2 linked regions of the Macaca fascicularis genome follow. The protein of the gene in region 1 purifies or fractionates together with the protein of each later gene. This does not show direct contact. Links are inferred from orthologs where the notes say so. Each region holds a gene or a part of one and is shown in the gene's direction. Other genes may lie near its edges.

What was found. Proteins that work in one complex are often made in the same cells at the same time.
Region 2: the proteins of YWHAE (region 1) and MARK3 purify together in Homo sapiens (affinity purification with mass spectrometry; 9 studies listed by BioGRID and IntAct, with this or other methods). This does not show direct contact. The link is inferred for Macaca fascicularis from reciprocal best matches to the Homo sapiens genes YWHAE and MARK3.

Annotation. Positions count from the first base shown.
Region 1 is NC_088390.1:1,503,554-1,511,651, reverse strand, and holds the start of YWHAE (14-3-3 protein epsilon), read left to right. Parts: upstream 1-3,359; 5' UTR 3,360-3,471; coding exon 3,472-3,535; intron 3,536-8,098. UniProt on the Homo sapiens protein: Adapter protein implicated in the regulation of a large spectrum of both general and specialized signaling pathways. Binds to a large number of partners, usually by recognition of a phosphoserine or phosphothreonine motif.
Region 2 is NC_088381.1:171,674,564-171,680,707, forward strand, and holds the end of MARK3 (MAP/microtubule affinity-regulating kinase 3), read left to right. Parts: intron 1-2,471; coding exon 2,472-2,817; 3' UTR 2,818-3,420; downstream 3,421-6,144. UniProt on the Homo sapiens protein: Serine/threonine-protein kinase. Involved in the specific phosphorylation of microtubule-associated proteins for MAP2 and MAP4. Phosphorylates the microtubule-associated protein MAPT/TAU. Phosphorylates CDC25C on 'Ser-216'.

The DNA of each region.
Region 1 (8,098 bases):
AACATGTGCTAAAAGGAACTTTGTCTTTCTCTGCATTCCATCAGCAAGTGTTCCTAGCATTCCCATTTTTTGTTAATATTCTCAGGGTGGAGATGGAAAGTCAATTTTTATTATAAGATCTCCAATCTGGGCCTGGAGCGGTGACTCACACCTGTAATCCCAACTTTTTTTTTTTTTTTTTTTTTGAGACGGAGTCTCGCTCTGTTGCCCAGGCTGGAGTGCAGTGGCGCAATCTCAGCTCACTGCAAGCTCTGCCTCCCGGGTTCACGCCATTCTCCTGCCTCAGCCTCCCGAGTAGCTGGGACTACAGGCGCCCGCCACTGTGCCCGGCTAATTTTTTCTATTTTTAGTAGAGACGGGGTTTCACCATGGTCTCGATCTCCTGACCTTGTGATCTGCCCGCCTCGGCCTCCCAAAGTGCTGGGATTACAGGCGTGAGCCACCGTGCCCGGCCTGTAATCCCAACTCTTTGGGAGGCCGAGGCGGGTGGATCACCTGAGGACAGGAGTTCGAGACCAGCCTGGCCAATATGGTGAAACCCTGTCTCTACTAAAAATACGAAAATTAGCTGGGCAGTTGTGCACGCCTGTAATTCCAGCTACTCGGGGGCTGAGACAGGAGAATCGCTCGAACCCGGAAGACAGAAGTTGCAGTGAGTCAAGACCGTGCCACTGCACTCCAGCCTGGGCCACAGAGCGAGACTCCATCTCAAAAAAAAAAAAGCTGCAATCTGATCAGCTACCTGTGGCTTCCTTCTATAGTGCCATTCCTATTTATCCTTTCCTTTCTATTTTCATTGCTCCCATCTATTATCTTTGGTTATCCTCCTCTTTAATCATTGCTATGGAATATTTGTTAATATTTCTGAAATATAACTATGATGGTGTCATTCTCCATGCAAAATCATACAGCTCCCTTGGCCACAAAATAAGATGCACAGGGCCGGGCGTGGTGGCTCACGCCTGTAATCCCAGCACTTTGGGAGGCCGAGGTGGGCAGATCACAAGGTCAGGAGATCGAGACCATGGTGAAACCCCGTCTCTACTAAAAATAGAAAAAATTAGCCGGGCGCAGGGGCGGGTGCCTGTAGTCCCAGCTACTCGAGTGGCTGAGGCAGGAGAATGGCGTGAACCCGGGAGGCGGAGCTTGCAGTGAGCCGAGATTGCGCCACTGCACTCCAGCCTGGGCGACAGAGCGAGACTCCGTCTCAAAAAAAAAAAAAAAAAAAAAGATGCAAAGTTGGGTACGTTGGTGCAAGCCTGTAGTCTCCCAGCTACTCGGGAGGCCAAGGTGGGATTGCTTGAGCTCAGTTTAAGACCAGTCTGTGCAACATGGCAAGATCCCTCCCTATCCCCACTTTATTTTTTGAGACAGGGTTTTGCTCTGTTACCCAGGCTGGTGAACACTGGTGCAATCACAATTCACTGCAGCCTCAACCTCTTGGACTCAGGAGATCCTCCTGCTTCAGCCTCTGAAACTGCTAAGATATGGCCGGGCGTGGTGGCTCACACCTGTAATCCTAGCACTTTGGGAGGCCTAGGCGGGCAGATCACGAGGTCCGGAGATCGAGACCATCCTGGCTAACACAGTGAAACCCCATCTCTACTAAAAACACAAACAATTAGCTGGGCGTGGTGGCACGTGCCTGTAGTCCCAGCTACTCAGGAGGCTGAGGCAGGAGAATCGCTTGATCCCAGGAGGTGGAGGTTGCAGTGAGCTGAGATCCCAGCACTACACTCCAGCCTGGGCAACAGAAGGAGATGCCGACTCAAAAAAATAAAAATAAAAGGTTTTTGTAGACATGAGGTCTTACTATGTTGCCCAGGCTGGTCTCAAACTCCTGGGCTCAAGTCATCCTTCTGCATGGGCCTCCCAAGTGCCAGGCACCGAAGCGATGTTCACTGAGTTATTCCTGCCTCCACAATCTTAATTTGATCTTGGTCCAACTCTTCTGTACCCTGTACTCCACACCATCCTCATCTAACAAATTCCCTGCTCCTATTCATGGTGGGCCTAGGGAGGAAAAAAGGTTAAATAGGAGGAGAAGAAAAAGATCAGTGTGAGGGGAAAGTTGATGCGTCACAACTGGAGCTCCCCTGTCCCTGACTACAACAGGACCCAGTTCTTTTTTTTTTTGAGATGGAGTTGTGCTCTTGTTGCCCAGGCTGGTGTGCAATGGTGTGATCTTGGTTCACTGCACCCTCCGACTCCCTGGTTCAAGAGATTCTCCTGCCTCAGCCTCCCAAGCAGCTGGGATTACAGGCGTGCACCACCACACCCAGCGAATTTTTGTGTATATATATATATATTTTTTTCTTTTGAGACAGTCTCGCACTGTCGCCTGGGCTGGAGTGCAATGGGGGGATCTCAGCTCACTGTAACCTCTGCCTCCCGGGTTCAAGAGATTCTCCTGACTTAGCCTCCTGAGTAGCTGGGATTACAGCCATGTACCACCACGCCCAGCTAATTTTTTGTATTTTTAGTAGAGACGGGGTTTCACTATGTTGGCCAGGCTGGTCTCGAACTCCTGACCTTGTGATCCGCCCGCCTTGGCCTCCCAAGGTGCTGGGGTTACAGGTGTGAGCCACTGCGCCCGGCCAGGGCCCAGTTCGTTACCCTGAGTGTAAAAGTGTCTGAAATGGGCCCATGACCAGGAGTGGCGGAGAAACCCAGGACGCGGGCCGGGCGCGGTGGCTCACTCCTGTAATCCCAGCGCTTTGGGAGGCCGAGGTGGGCGGATCACCTTGAAGTCGGGAGTTCGAGACCAGCCTGACCAACATGGTGAAACCCCGTCTCTATTAAACATACAAAAGGTAGCTGGGCTTGGTGGCGGGCGCCTGAAATCCCAGCTACTCGGGAGGCTGAGGCAGGAGAATCACTTGAACCCGGGAGGCAGACGTTGTGTTGAGCCGAGATCGCACCACTGCACTCCAGCCTGGGGAACAAGAGCGAAACTCCGTCTCAAAAAAAAAACAAAAACACAAAAGGAAACCAGGACACGGTAGTGACAGCCGCTGCTTTCGGGGAGGAAGACCTGCCATGACAGAAACCGTTAGCGCCTCAGTCGTTCTCTTCCGCAGGTCGGGCCTCGGGCCCAGGTTTCCCGCCGGCTTTTTTCAGGAGCAGTCCCGGCCGGCCCCGCCTCAGCCCTTCCCGTTCCCCGGGGGCCGCTCCCTCTCAGCAGTCGCAGTTCCCGCCTCTGGGCTCCGGCGCCCGCTGAGCCGACGGAGGAGGGGCGTCTCCTGCGCTGGTTCCAGCCTCTTCGGGCGCCGAGTTCCAGGACCCGCCCCCCGCGCCAGTTGCCAGGGAGCGGTTGCCATAGAGCTGAGCAGTTGTCCGCGTGCGCAGGCGGAAGTCCCGGATTGAGGCGCCGCCATTTTTGCTGCCCGGACGCGGAGCGAGAGGCTGAGAGAGTCGGAGACACTATCCGCTTCCATCCGTCGCGCAGACCCTGCCGGAGCCGCTGCCGCTATGGATGATCGAGAGGATCTGGTGTACCAGGCGAAGCTGGCCGAGCAGGCTGAGCGATACGACGGTGAGTTGGGGGGGCAGCGGGGGGCTGGAATTCTCGTTCCCTCTGCCGCCGCCCACAGAGGCCGGGAACAGGAGACAAAATGGCGGCATCGTCTGCGAGCCTGGCCCGGGGGCTTGGGTTCGGGAAGCAGGAAATGGCCTGGGAGCTCCCGGGGCAATGGGAGGCTGTATGCCTTGGAATGTGACCCCTTCGCCGTCCTTAACTGCAAACAACTCGCGGGCCGGGAGGCCGGGGAGACGGGGTGGAGGAGTTGGTTGTAAAATGGCGGCTGGGGGGAGGGCGAGTCTCGGGGCGGGGGAGGGGGAGGAGATGGCGGGTGCTGTCTCCGAACGAGCAGCCCTCAGGGGAGCTTCTGGGACGGTCTTGGGATGTGGAGAACAATTGGGTGCGGTGACGGGGGAAGCAGCACCCGCCACATGGGAGAGAGCGGAGACCGGGAGCTGTAGCGCGGGCGCCTTTCAGGGAAATATGGCGGGTGGGGGCGGTGGCTTTTCCCCGGAGGCCCCGTGTGGGGCGGCGGCCGTGGAGTCTCACAAAGGAGAAGCCTTCAGAGCGATGGGCTTCCTCAGGCCTGAGGCGGGGGACAGTCCCGGGTGATGGTGGGGGGAGAGGGGTGAGCGGGAATCACTGCGGTTCGTCTGGGGCGGTGGCAGGCGCCGACGCTGCGATCGGGTTTCTCTCCCGTGGGCCGGCACCTCGTAGTGAGGGGGTTTGGGGCTTTTCCTCCTCGCCGCCTGCTGGGGAGGCCCAGAAAACCCTCACTCCCTCCCCTTTCCTCAGACTTAAAACGGGAGACCTCGAAGTTCCTGTAACCTTTCTCTGACTGCATCACCAGTGGGTTCTGATGGATAGAAGCAGGAGACCAGGAGGCCACGACTCTGAGAGTTCGAGCCTTTGTAGGGCCCGAGCCTCAGTCCACCCGTTTGTAAAAACGATGACTTTACAGTTTGTGCGCACCATCATGACACATGGAAAGACCTGTTGAAATAAAGTTATTTCCAATAGTGTTCAGTCACTGTATTTTGGTTGACTCTGCAGGCTCGGGATGCTGGTCTGTACTTCGTGGGGGAGCTTAACCTATTCCAGGCACTCGGCTGAGGCTGGGGTTTTTGAGTTATGAAGGTTGGAGATCCTGTTGCTTTCTTTTTTTCCATTTCAAATAAATGGGTTTATGTAGAAATTTTAGTAGTTCCTCTTTGTTCGTTGTTCCTTTGCCCATAACGGGTTCTCCAGTCCTTTTTCATAACTTTATCGAAATATCCATTGTGTCTGTCTAGTCATTGTCAGGAAGTTTATTCTTAGTCCTCCCTCCCAGTCCACCTTTTGAAATACCCTCACATTTATAATTGTGCGATACTGTAGTATTAAAGGAAAAGTCATGTATGTGGGTCCTGTGGTTTTAATGCTTTTGTGTGGTAGGGTGGGATGAGACATGGTTGGAATCAAGTATCTTTGATCCTTAGATTTTTCCTGATTAAGCTACCTGTATTTCAAAATGTTGTGTAGGGCCGTTGCTTTCCTGGAAATGCAGATTTAGTCATGTGAATAACCTCAGGGCTACTCCCCCTTATCAGAAACGAGGATTCAGGGATTTGAAAATAAGACAAGGCCTCTAGAAGTCAAATTTGGAATAATACTAAACTAAATTTCGTCTTGTAAATTGTTAAATTGCTATTTGTATTGAACAAGATTCCTGTTGGGAGAGGGAGGGGAATTAGGTGGGGAAGTGCAGCTCAAGGTCAGCTTTGTCTTTATTTCAGTGTTTAAAAATCAAACAGATAAAGATGTGCTTGTATTGGAAGTCTCCTCCTCCGCTCCTCATCTCCAGATGTTCCCCTCTTCATCTATTAGTGTTCTTGGGAGGAAACAAATTATACTTGAATGCTTTCTGTTTTGTGGGCATTGGAGCTCTGAGTAAACTTGCTGTGATAACTAGAAAGGATGTGAGAGAAGGTCTTTTTTTTGAAAGCTCCTTTAAAAAACCGATTTGAAAGCTTATGATTGTAGTTTCCAATTAAATGACAGGTTAGTGATAATTATATTTTTGATGTGAGTGGTGAAGATTTCTGACCAGAGCCCTTACTGGTTATTGAACATAGGACTCTGATAAAGCCACATCCTTACAGTTGTTAATGTTAGGTGTCCCCTTCAGGATCTAAAGGGGTAAGGAAATAGAATCTGCAAGGTGAGGAGCTATTCCTGTGACTTGGGGCATATGGTAGGGATTCAGTAGAAAGGAGAGGAGGAGAAGGAGACAGACACCAGGAATTTCTACCTGTGTCCTCTGCCTGTGTCCATTCCTTTATTGAGTGCAATATTTTTTTGTTTCTGGGACGAAGTGTTGCCGGAGTCCTGGTCACCAAACAGAATTTAGCAGGTGTCGGTGGTGGAAGAAGGTAAGACAGTATATTAGCAGGATTTCTTTGTTGGATACTTGTACCCAAATGCTGGTTTTCCAGCTGCTCTTTTATCTTTCTGTTAACTGCAGTAGGCCTATTTTATTTTGCTTGCTGTGTTGAATTAATGCCTAAACTTACATGTACCCTCATTTAATTCTATCCTGGGGCGTTGGAATCAATTTATATGGATTATTTAATGGTACGGGAGGAAGAGCTAAGCTGTATTCAGGAAAAGGACACTTTAATGTCACAGGAAATATTTAAGTTTGGGGCCAGGAGGTGAGGATTAAATCTAGCATCTCATCACTTTAACAAGCCAGTAGTCTAAGGAATCATTTTTACGTCCTTTGAAACCGTATTAAGCAAGTCCATTATTTCTTAATATTTCTCAAATATTGTTTGAGAATGTATATGAATTAATATAAAATGAATAGTATATATGAATTAGTACAAAAAAGTGGGGAATAGGCCCGGCGCAGTGGCTCACGCCTGTAATCCAGCACGTTGGGAGATCAAGGCGGGTGGATCACCTGAGGTTGGGAGTTTAAGACCAGCCTGGCCAACAAATTATCTGTGCATAGCTACTGAGGAGGTTGAGGTGGGAGAATCACGAACCCAGGAGGTGAAGGTTGTAGTGAGCCAAGATTGTGGCATTACACTACAGCCTGGGCGACAGAGCGAGACTCTTGTCTCCAAAGATAAAAAAAAAAAAGAAAGAAAGAAAGTGAGGCTAGGTGCGGTGGCTCATGCCTATAATCCCAGTACTTTGGAAGTCTGAGGCCAAGGCGGGCAGATCACCTGAGGTCAAAAGTTCAAGACCAGCCTTACCAACATGGAGAAACCCCATCTCTACTAAAGATACAAAATTCTCTGGGGGTGGTGGGTGCCTGTAATCCCAGCTACTTGAGAGGCGGAGGCAGGAGAATCACTTGAACCTGGGAGGCCGAGATTGCAGTGAGCCAAGATCACGCCATTGCAGTCCAGCCAGGGCAACAACAACAACAAAAAATGGGGAATGTAGAGGGGAAAAATGAATAGTTTCCCCGTTTTGGGGGAGCAGAGGGGCAACATAAACTACATTTGGGCTTGTGGAGCAGTTGTTGGTTTTGTGTCTTCCCTGTCAAATTGGCTCCATGGAAGGTAGGGTGAAGTTTTGATGGTCATGTTGGATTCAGTAGGAATGCGTCTGTTGTGTTATTTACTTGAGAGCTGTCTTTTTTTTTCCCTCCGCCTCCCGGGTTCAAGCGATTCTCCTGCCTCACCCTCCCGAGTAGCTGGGACTACACCATGCCAGACTAATTTTGTTTTTTTTTTTGTTTTTTTTTTTAGTAGAGACACAGTTTCTCCATGTTGGTCAGGCTGGTCTTGAACTCCCAACCTTAGGTGATCAGCCCACGTCGGCCTCCCAAAGTGCTGACATTACAGGCCTGAGCCACTGCAACCGGCTGAGAGCTGTCTTTTTTTTTTGAGGTGGAGTCTTGCTCTTGCTGCCCAGGCTGGAGTGCAATAGCACGATCTTGGCTCACTGCAACCTCCACCTCCTGGGTTCAAGCGATTCTCCTGCTTCAACTCCAAGATTACAGGTGTCTGCCACTATACCCGGCTAATTTTGTATTTTTAGTAGAGGTGGGGTTTTGCCATGTTGACGAGGTTGATCTCGAACTCCTGACCTCAGGTGATCCGCCCGCCTCAGCCTCCCAAAGTGCTGGGATTACAGGCCACCGCTGAGAGCTGTCCTTTTAAAACACCAGAGCCTCACCTCTAGCTAGCTTATTCTGCTGGTTAGTGAAGAATAGGGAAGGGAGCATGTGCGGAATGAACTTTTTAAAAACTATGGTCTTGTTAGGGAAAAAGTAGGTAGTAGTAAATTAACTTTGTTAATAAGTTTAGAAGCATTTAGATTACCCATTCTTTGACTGTAGGCCAGTAATTTTCCATTGCCATTTCAGTTAATGGAGTAACTTTATGGAATAAAGTTTTTCTCCTTCTTAAATGCATAGGCAGAACTGGGTAATGTGTTAAAAATCCCTTCTGGCCGGGCGCAGTGGCTCACGCCTGTAATCCCAGCACTTTGGGAGGCTGAGGCGCGCGGATCACAAGGCCAGGAGATCGAGACCATCCCGGCTAACACGGTGAAACCACGTCTCTACTGAAAACACAAAAA
Region 2 (6,144 bases), on another chromosome or scaffold:
CTTCAGCCTTCCTGCCTGGGCGTTAACAGCCTTTGGAGGTCTGGGTTGGGTAGCAGTGCTCAGAGAAATAAGCCCTCAGTTAATCACTGACTCCTCACATGGTTCTCTTCACAAGGAATAAAAGCAAAGTACTTAATAGAATATCCATATTTCGAACTAGTTATGTTTTCTTCTAAGAATGGTGATTATATAGTTGAGTGTTTTGCTTTTCTTTTTTTTTTTTTTTTCTGAGACAGGGTCTCGCTTTGTCACCCAGGCTGGAGTGTAGTGGCACGATCATAGCTTGGGCTCCTGGGCTTATGCAGTCCTCCCACCTCAGCCTCCTGAGTATCTGGAACCACAGGCACTACCACCATGCTGGCTAATTTTTGTATTTTTTTGTAGAGAGGGGGTCTCGCCATGTTGGCCAGGCTGGTCTCAAACTCCTAGGCTCAGGTGAACCTCCCACCTTGACCTTCCAAAGTGCTGGGATGACAGACATGAGCTGCTGCGCCTGGCCTTGCTTTTCCATTTTGTGTAGTTATCATTGCATGGATTTACAGGGGGGCCAGTCACCAGGTAATCTTAGGACTCTGTGTCCGTAGTTCTAGATCTCTTCCACTTCTGCCCTTTTTTATGCCAGTCACCAGCAGGCTATTTCAGGTCCTCATTCACCATTTGTCTTTTAGGTCTTTTTAAAAGCCCACTTCTGGTCATATGACCTCTGAATTAAAACTTTCAGTGACCTCCACTATTTCACCCGGCCACATCCCTGCGAGGCCCTGAGTGGCGTGGTCCAGGCTGCCCCAGCAGCCCAGCTCCGCTGCCCCATCAAGGCGGAGCATTGGGGTGAGTGCCAGGCAGCATTCCCCCTCCAGGCCTGCCCATCCCAGCCAGTAGCAGGCTCTAGATCCTGGTTTGTTTCCCCACCCATAATAGGAAGGTGAGATAATAGGGCCTACATGGACATCAAGTAAGTTGGGGCCTGACCACCACAAGTACTCATTAAGTGCCACCAGCTGTTGTGGGGGTGATGACACTGTGCCTCCAGTTCCACTCAGTCTGTGTACTTTATTATGCCACAGACACATCCTGTACTTTCCTACCTCCCCTTTGGCTGTGATCCCCTGTACTCAAAACAAAAACTCTTTCCTGTCTTCATTGCATTTTGTTGAAATCCCATGGCTCTTCATAGCTCTCCTCAGATGCAGGCCCACTCCCACCCGTGCCATTTCCTGCTTGTCTCATCCTGCCTGTCACACTCTCCTGTCACACTGCTAGGTGGGCTCCACCTCTTCTGCAGCCCTCTAGGGGATGGCCAGCCTTTCCTGTGCTGCCACTGTTGCCTCACCTTACAGTCTTCCTGGCTCCAGATTAGTTTGAGAGCTTTTGCTTATCTTTGTAACCCATTTAGTATCTAATGTGGCATTTTATACATAGGAAGCTTCTCATCAGTATTGGTGGATGTGAACCAAATTGAACACTAGCAGGTTGGTGACACGGAGAGCTATGTGCATATGTAAAAACTGTAGCCCCTCACCTCTGATTAGTTGGCCATAGGATGGAGTATACTTAAGGTACATAGACTGTTTTACTCCCAAGAGTGCTAGTCACTCACTGTCTTAATTGAGGCCACCAGATACACACATGAGAATGTAAATAACGGCTTGTGGCAATAATGACTAAATGCCAAAGAATGGCCGGTAAACCATGGTGGTCCCTAGAGACCCAGGCCTGGGCCATACTCATGCTGCGTCTTGGGCATCCAGACCAAGGCTTACATTCTGAATCCGCAGGGCATCCACATGGGTGGTGTCAGTCCTCCACAGACAGAGAAGTGTCCCATTGCATTTTTCCATCTATTCCAGTAGTAAGATTGTGTCATCTAAGATTTTTGCTTTAACTGTATAACTGGACATTTAATTAACAAACCAGAGAAGAGGAAAGACAATGAGGTGGGTAGAGCATCATGTTCAGCCTTAGGGCCGTTCACAGAGAAAGCAATTTTAGACTGCGGGTGTTGAGTCTCCAGTTACCCTGAGTGCCAGTTACAGTGATTTACATCTGAAGGAACTGTCGCAGGAGAGGGACAGCCCAGGGTGGATGGGTGAGGTGGGCAGGAACTGGCTGCCAACTCCCTCCCTGAGCTGGGCCTGCAGAGCCCTGAGTGGAGGAGTGGGGCACGCTGTCCCCTTTGCCTGATTTCCAAGGATTCTGTTTAACCAATTACTTTCTTCATTTTAGTAAGCACAGGTGGCTGGTGAAGATTTTACAGCCAGGTAGATCTTTTTGTGTGTGACTTATGACTTTTAGAGGGTGGGGGAAGAAAATAGACGAAAATAGATTTAGTTACAATTGTGAGTCTGTGCAGGAAAATGTGGAGGTCAGTCGTTAGTTGTGTTGTATTGAAGATGTGAATGAGGAACTAGCTGAAGTGTAAGAGGTTGATTTTCCTGTACGATTAAAAATAAACCTGCCTCTGTGCATTTCAGTCGCAATGTATCTGCTGAGCAAAAGGATGAAAACAAAGAAGCAAAGCCTCGATCCCTACGCTTCACCTGGAGCATGAAAACCACTAGTTCAATGGATCCCGGGGACATGATGCGGGAAATCCGCAAAGTGTTGGATGCCAATAACTGCGACTATGAGCAGAGGGAGCGCTTCTTGCTCTTCTGTGTCCACGGTGATGGGCACGCAGAGAACCTCGTGCAGTGGGAAATGGAAGTATGCAAGCTGCCAAGACTGTCTCTGAATGGGGTCCGGTTTAAGCGGATATCGGGGACATCCATAGCCTTCAAAAATATTGCTTCCAAAATTGCCAATGAGCTAAAGCTGTAACCCAGTAATTATGATGTAAATTAAGTAGCAATTAAAGTGTTTTCCTGAACACTGATGGAAATGTATAGAATAATATTTAGGCAATAACGTCTGCATCTTCTAAATCATGATATTAAAGTCTGAGGACGAGAGCACGCCTGGGAGCGAAAGCTGGCCTTTTTTCTACGAATGCACTACATTAAAGATGTGCAACCTATGCGCCCCCTGCCCTACTTCCATTGCCCTGAGAGTCAGCGTGTGGCCCCATCTCCATGTGCCTCCCGCCTGGGTGGGTGTGAGAGTGGACAGTATGTGTGTGAAGTGGTGTGTATGAAAGCATCTCCCTGCACTGCAGCCAGTCATTACTGGTGCCTCTGCAGGAGATCATGTGGTGCTAAAACATTACACTTGCCAGGGAGGAGAATACTGAGTTACTGCCAAGAATTAACCGTAAGACTAGTTCATAGTTAATACAGGTTTACAGTTCATGCCTGTGGTTTTGTGTTTGTTGTTTTGTGTTTTTTTAGTGCAAAAGGTTTAAATTTATAGTTGTGAACATTGCTTGTGTGTGTTTTTCTAAGTAGATTCACAAGATAATTAAAAATTCACTTTTTCTCAGTAAAATCTTGCATTGTCTCCTAATACTGTATTTAACACACCCTCAAGTTGAGCAAAAGGAATGTGTATGAAGGTTTGGGGTCACGTGGACCTTAGCAGGGATCCCAATGTTTTGTGATTACCAGCATATTTTTTCTCCCAAGGCAATAAAGGGAGAAGACGGCCCTCATGGTGACCCAAGAAGGAAGGGAATCCAGAGCAGCTGCAGCTTAACCCTGGGAGTTGTTGCTCAGCCCTATGGAGAAACACCAGGTCTTGACGGTTCTGGGTTGGTTCTCTGTGAAGTATGTAAATTTCTTTTTGCCTTTCTTGTGATTCACTACATGAATCAGACCTGCAGCTTTTGTCCAACACCTACATGGTTGTGTAGGGGTAATGAGCTCATCACTCATTGTGTTACTTTATTCTCACAGGGAAGTTGTCACACTGGTGTGCTATTTTGGGTTCTGGGTTTGTTGTTGGTCAGAGTATGGAAGTCTGGAGGCCGGGCACTGTGGCTTACAGATGTGAGCCCAGCACTTTGGGAGGCTGAGGCCGGAGGATCATTGAGTCCAGTAGTTCAGGACCAGCTTGGGCAACATGGCAAGACCCCATGTCTTCAAAAAATAAAAACATTGGCCAGGCGCGGTGGCTCATGTCTGTAATCCCAGCACTTTGGGAGGCTGAGACGGGCAGATCACGAGGGCAGGAGATCAAGACCATCCTGGCTAACACGGTGAAGCCCCATCTCTACTAAAAATGCAAAAAATTAGGCGGGCGTGGTGGTGGGCGCCTGTAGTCCCAGCTACTCAGGAGGCTGAGGCAGGAGAATGGCGAGAACCTGGGAGGCGGAGCTTGCAATGAGCCAAGATGGTGCCACTGCACTCCAGCCTGTGCAACGAGTGAGACGCCGTCTCAATAATAATAATAATATAGGCCGGGCGCGGTGGCTCAAGCCTGTAATCCCAGCACTTTGGGAGGCCGAGACGGGCGGATCACAAGGTCAGGAGATCGAGACCATCCTGGCTAACATGGTGAAACCCCGTCTCTACTAAAAATACAAAAACTAGCCGGGCGAGGTGGTGGGCGCCTGTAGTCCCAGCTACTCCAGAGGCTGAGGCAGGAGAATGGTGTGAACCCGGGAGGCGGAGCTTGCAGTGAGCTGAGACCCGGCCACTGCACTCCAGCCTGGGCGACAGAGCGAGACTCCGTCTCAAAAAAAAAAAAAATAATAATAATAATAATAATATAAATAAATAAATAAATACATCAACCAAGCATGGTGGCGCACCTGTGGTCCCAGCTTTTCGAGATGCTGAGGTGGGAGGCTTGAACCCGGGAGGTTGAAGCTGCAGTGAACTGTGATTGTGCACAGCACTCCAGCCTGGGCAACAGAATGAGACCCTGTCTCAAAAAAAAAAAGAAAAAGGAAAGAGAATCTGGACAGTCAATCAGTCAGAAATATTGTTGTCTGTCTCTAGAGTGGGCAAGGCACTGTTCTGATTGTTTGAGATCCTCAGTGAGCAAAACAGACCCCTCTCTCCTTGAGCCTGACTTTCTAGGCAGTGGATAAACAAGTAAATTACCTAGTATGGAGCACAGCAGCACGTGCGAGAAAGCACAGAGCAGGCACGGGGTGCATCAGCACTCTGGGTGGGAATAGGTCTCCTTGGGCAGAGCCTGGGTGGGCGCGTTCCCACAGATTTCTGGGGAAGAGCACTGCTTGGGCCTGAGGCCTGAGTGCACGGCGTGCCTGGAGCAGAGTGTGGAGATGCTGAGATGCTTCTCCTGCATGGGAGCAGCTGAGGGAATGACAAGAGCCTTGTGGCCTTGGGCTTTCAGAGGATCACCCCGGCAGCTATGCTGGAACTCACTGAAATGGGACAAGGAGAAGCTGGGAAAGCCGCCTGGAGGCTCTCAGCAGCAATACAGGCAAGAGGTAGTGCAGCCTTGGGTGAGGATGGGCCTTGGCGCGGGTGGTGGTTGGGTTTTGGATATGTTTTGAAGTAAGAGGCAACTGCATTTGCCCTGGAGTTGGATATGGGGTGAGTAGAGCCAAGGACAGCTTCATGATTTTTGATCCGAACAGCAGAAAGGCCAGAATTGCTGTTAGTTGAGATGCGGAATGTGGCTGTAGAGATGTTGGGGGACAGGAGGGGAAGAAGATGAGGAGAGCAAGCTGGGATGTGTTGAGTTTGAAGTCCCTTTAAACACTGAGTGGTGACATCTAGTGGGCAGTTGGAGAGGGGCTGGGAGAGGTCGGGTCTGGGAGATGGAGGAGAAGCCAGGACTGAGTCCTGGACACAGCGCGAGGAGGGGGCCCGGGGAGAAGAGGTGAAGCTGGTAAGGCAGCAGCAAGGAGGGAGGGCCCTCCAGGTGTCAGAGGCAGGTGGACATCATGACCTAAGGCTCACCTCGTGGGAACTTTCCAACTTTTAGCAAGTAAGTCCCCTTCCCTGTCTCTGTCCAGTGCCTTTCAGAGTGGAGTCCTCTAGCAGAGCTCAGTGTGCCCAGTCACAGACAGTGAGGACTTCCCCAGCCTTTTCTGCCTGGTGCAATCTGGTTTTTATATCCCATTAAAGCATCACAAAGCCAACCCGGACAAGAGAATTTGGGTGTCTCTCTGCACACATGAGCCTCTTTAAGGAGATCTCCACACAGACTTCTCTCCCCCTTAGCTGTCGTTTTCTGTCACTGTCCCTTCTGAGCATTAAACCAAGGAGAAGATGTTCTGCCATAAATTACTTCCTT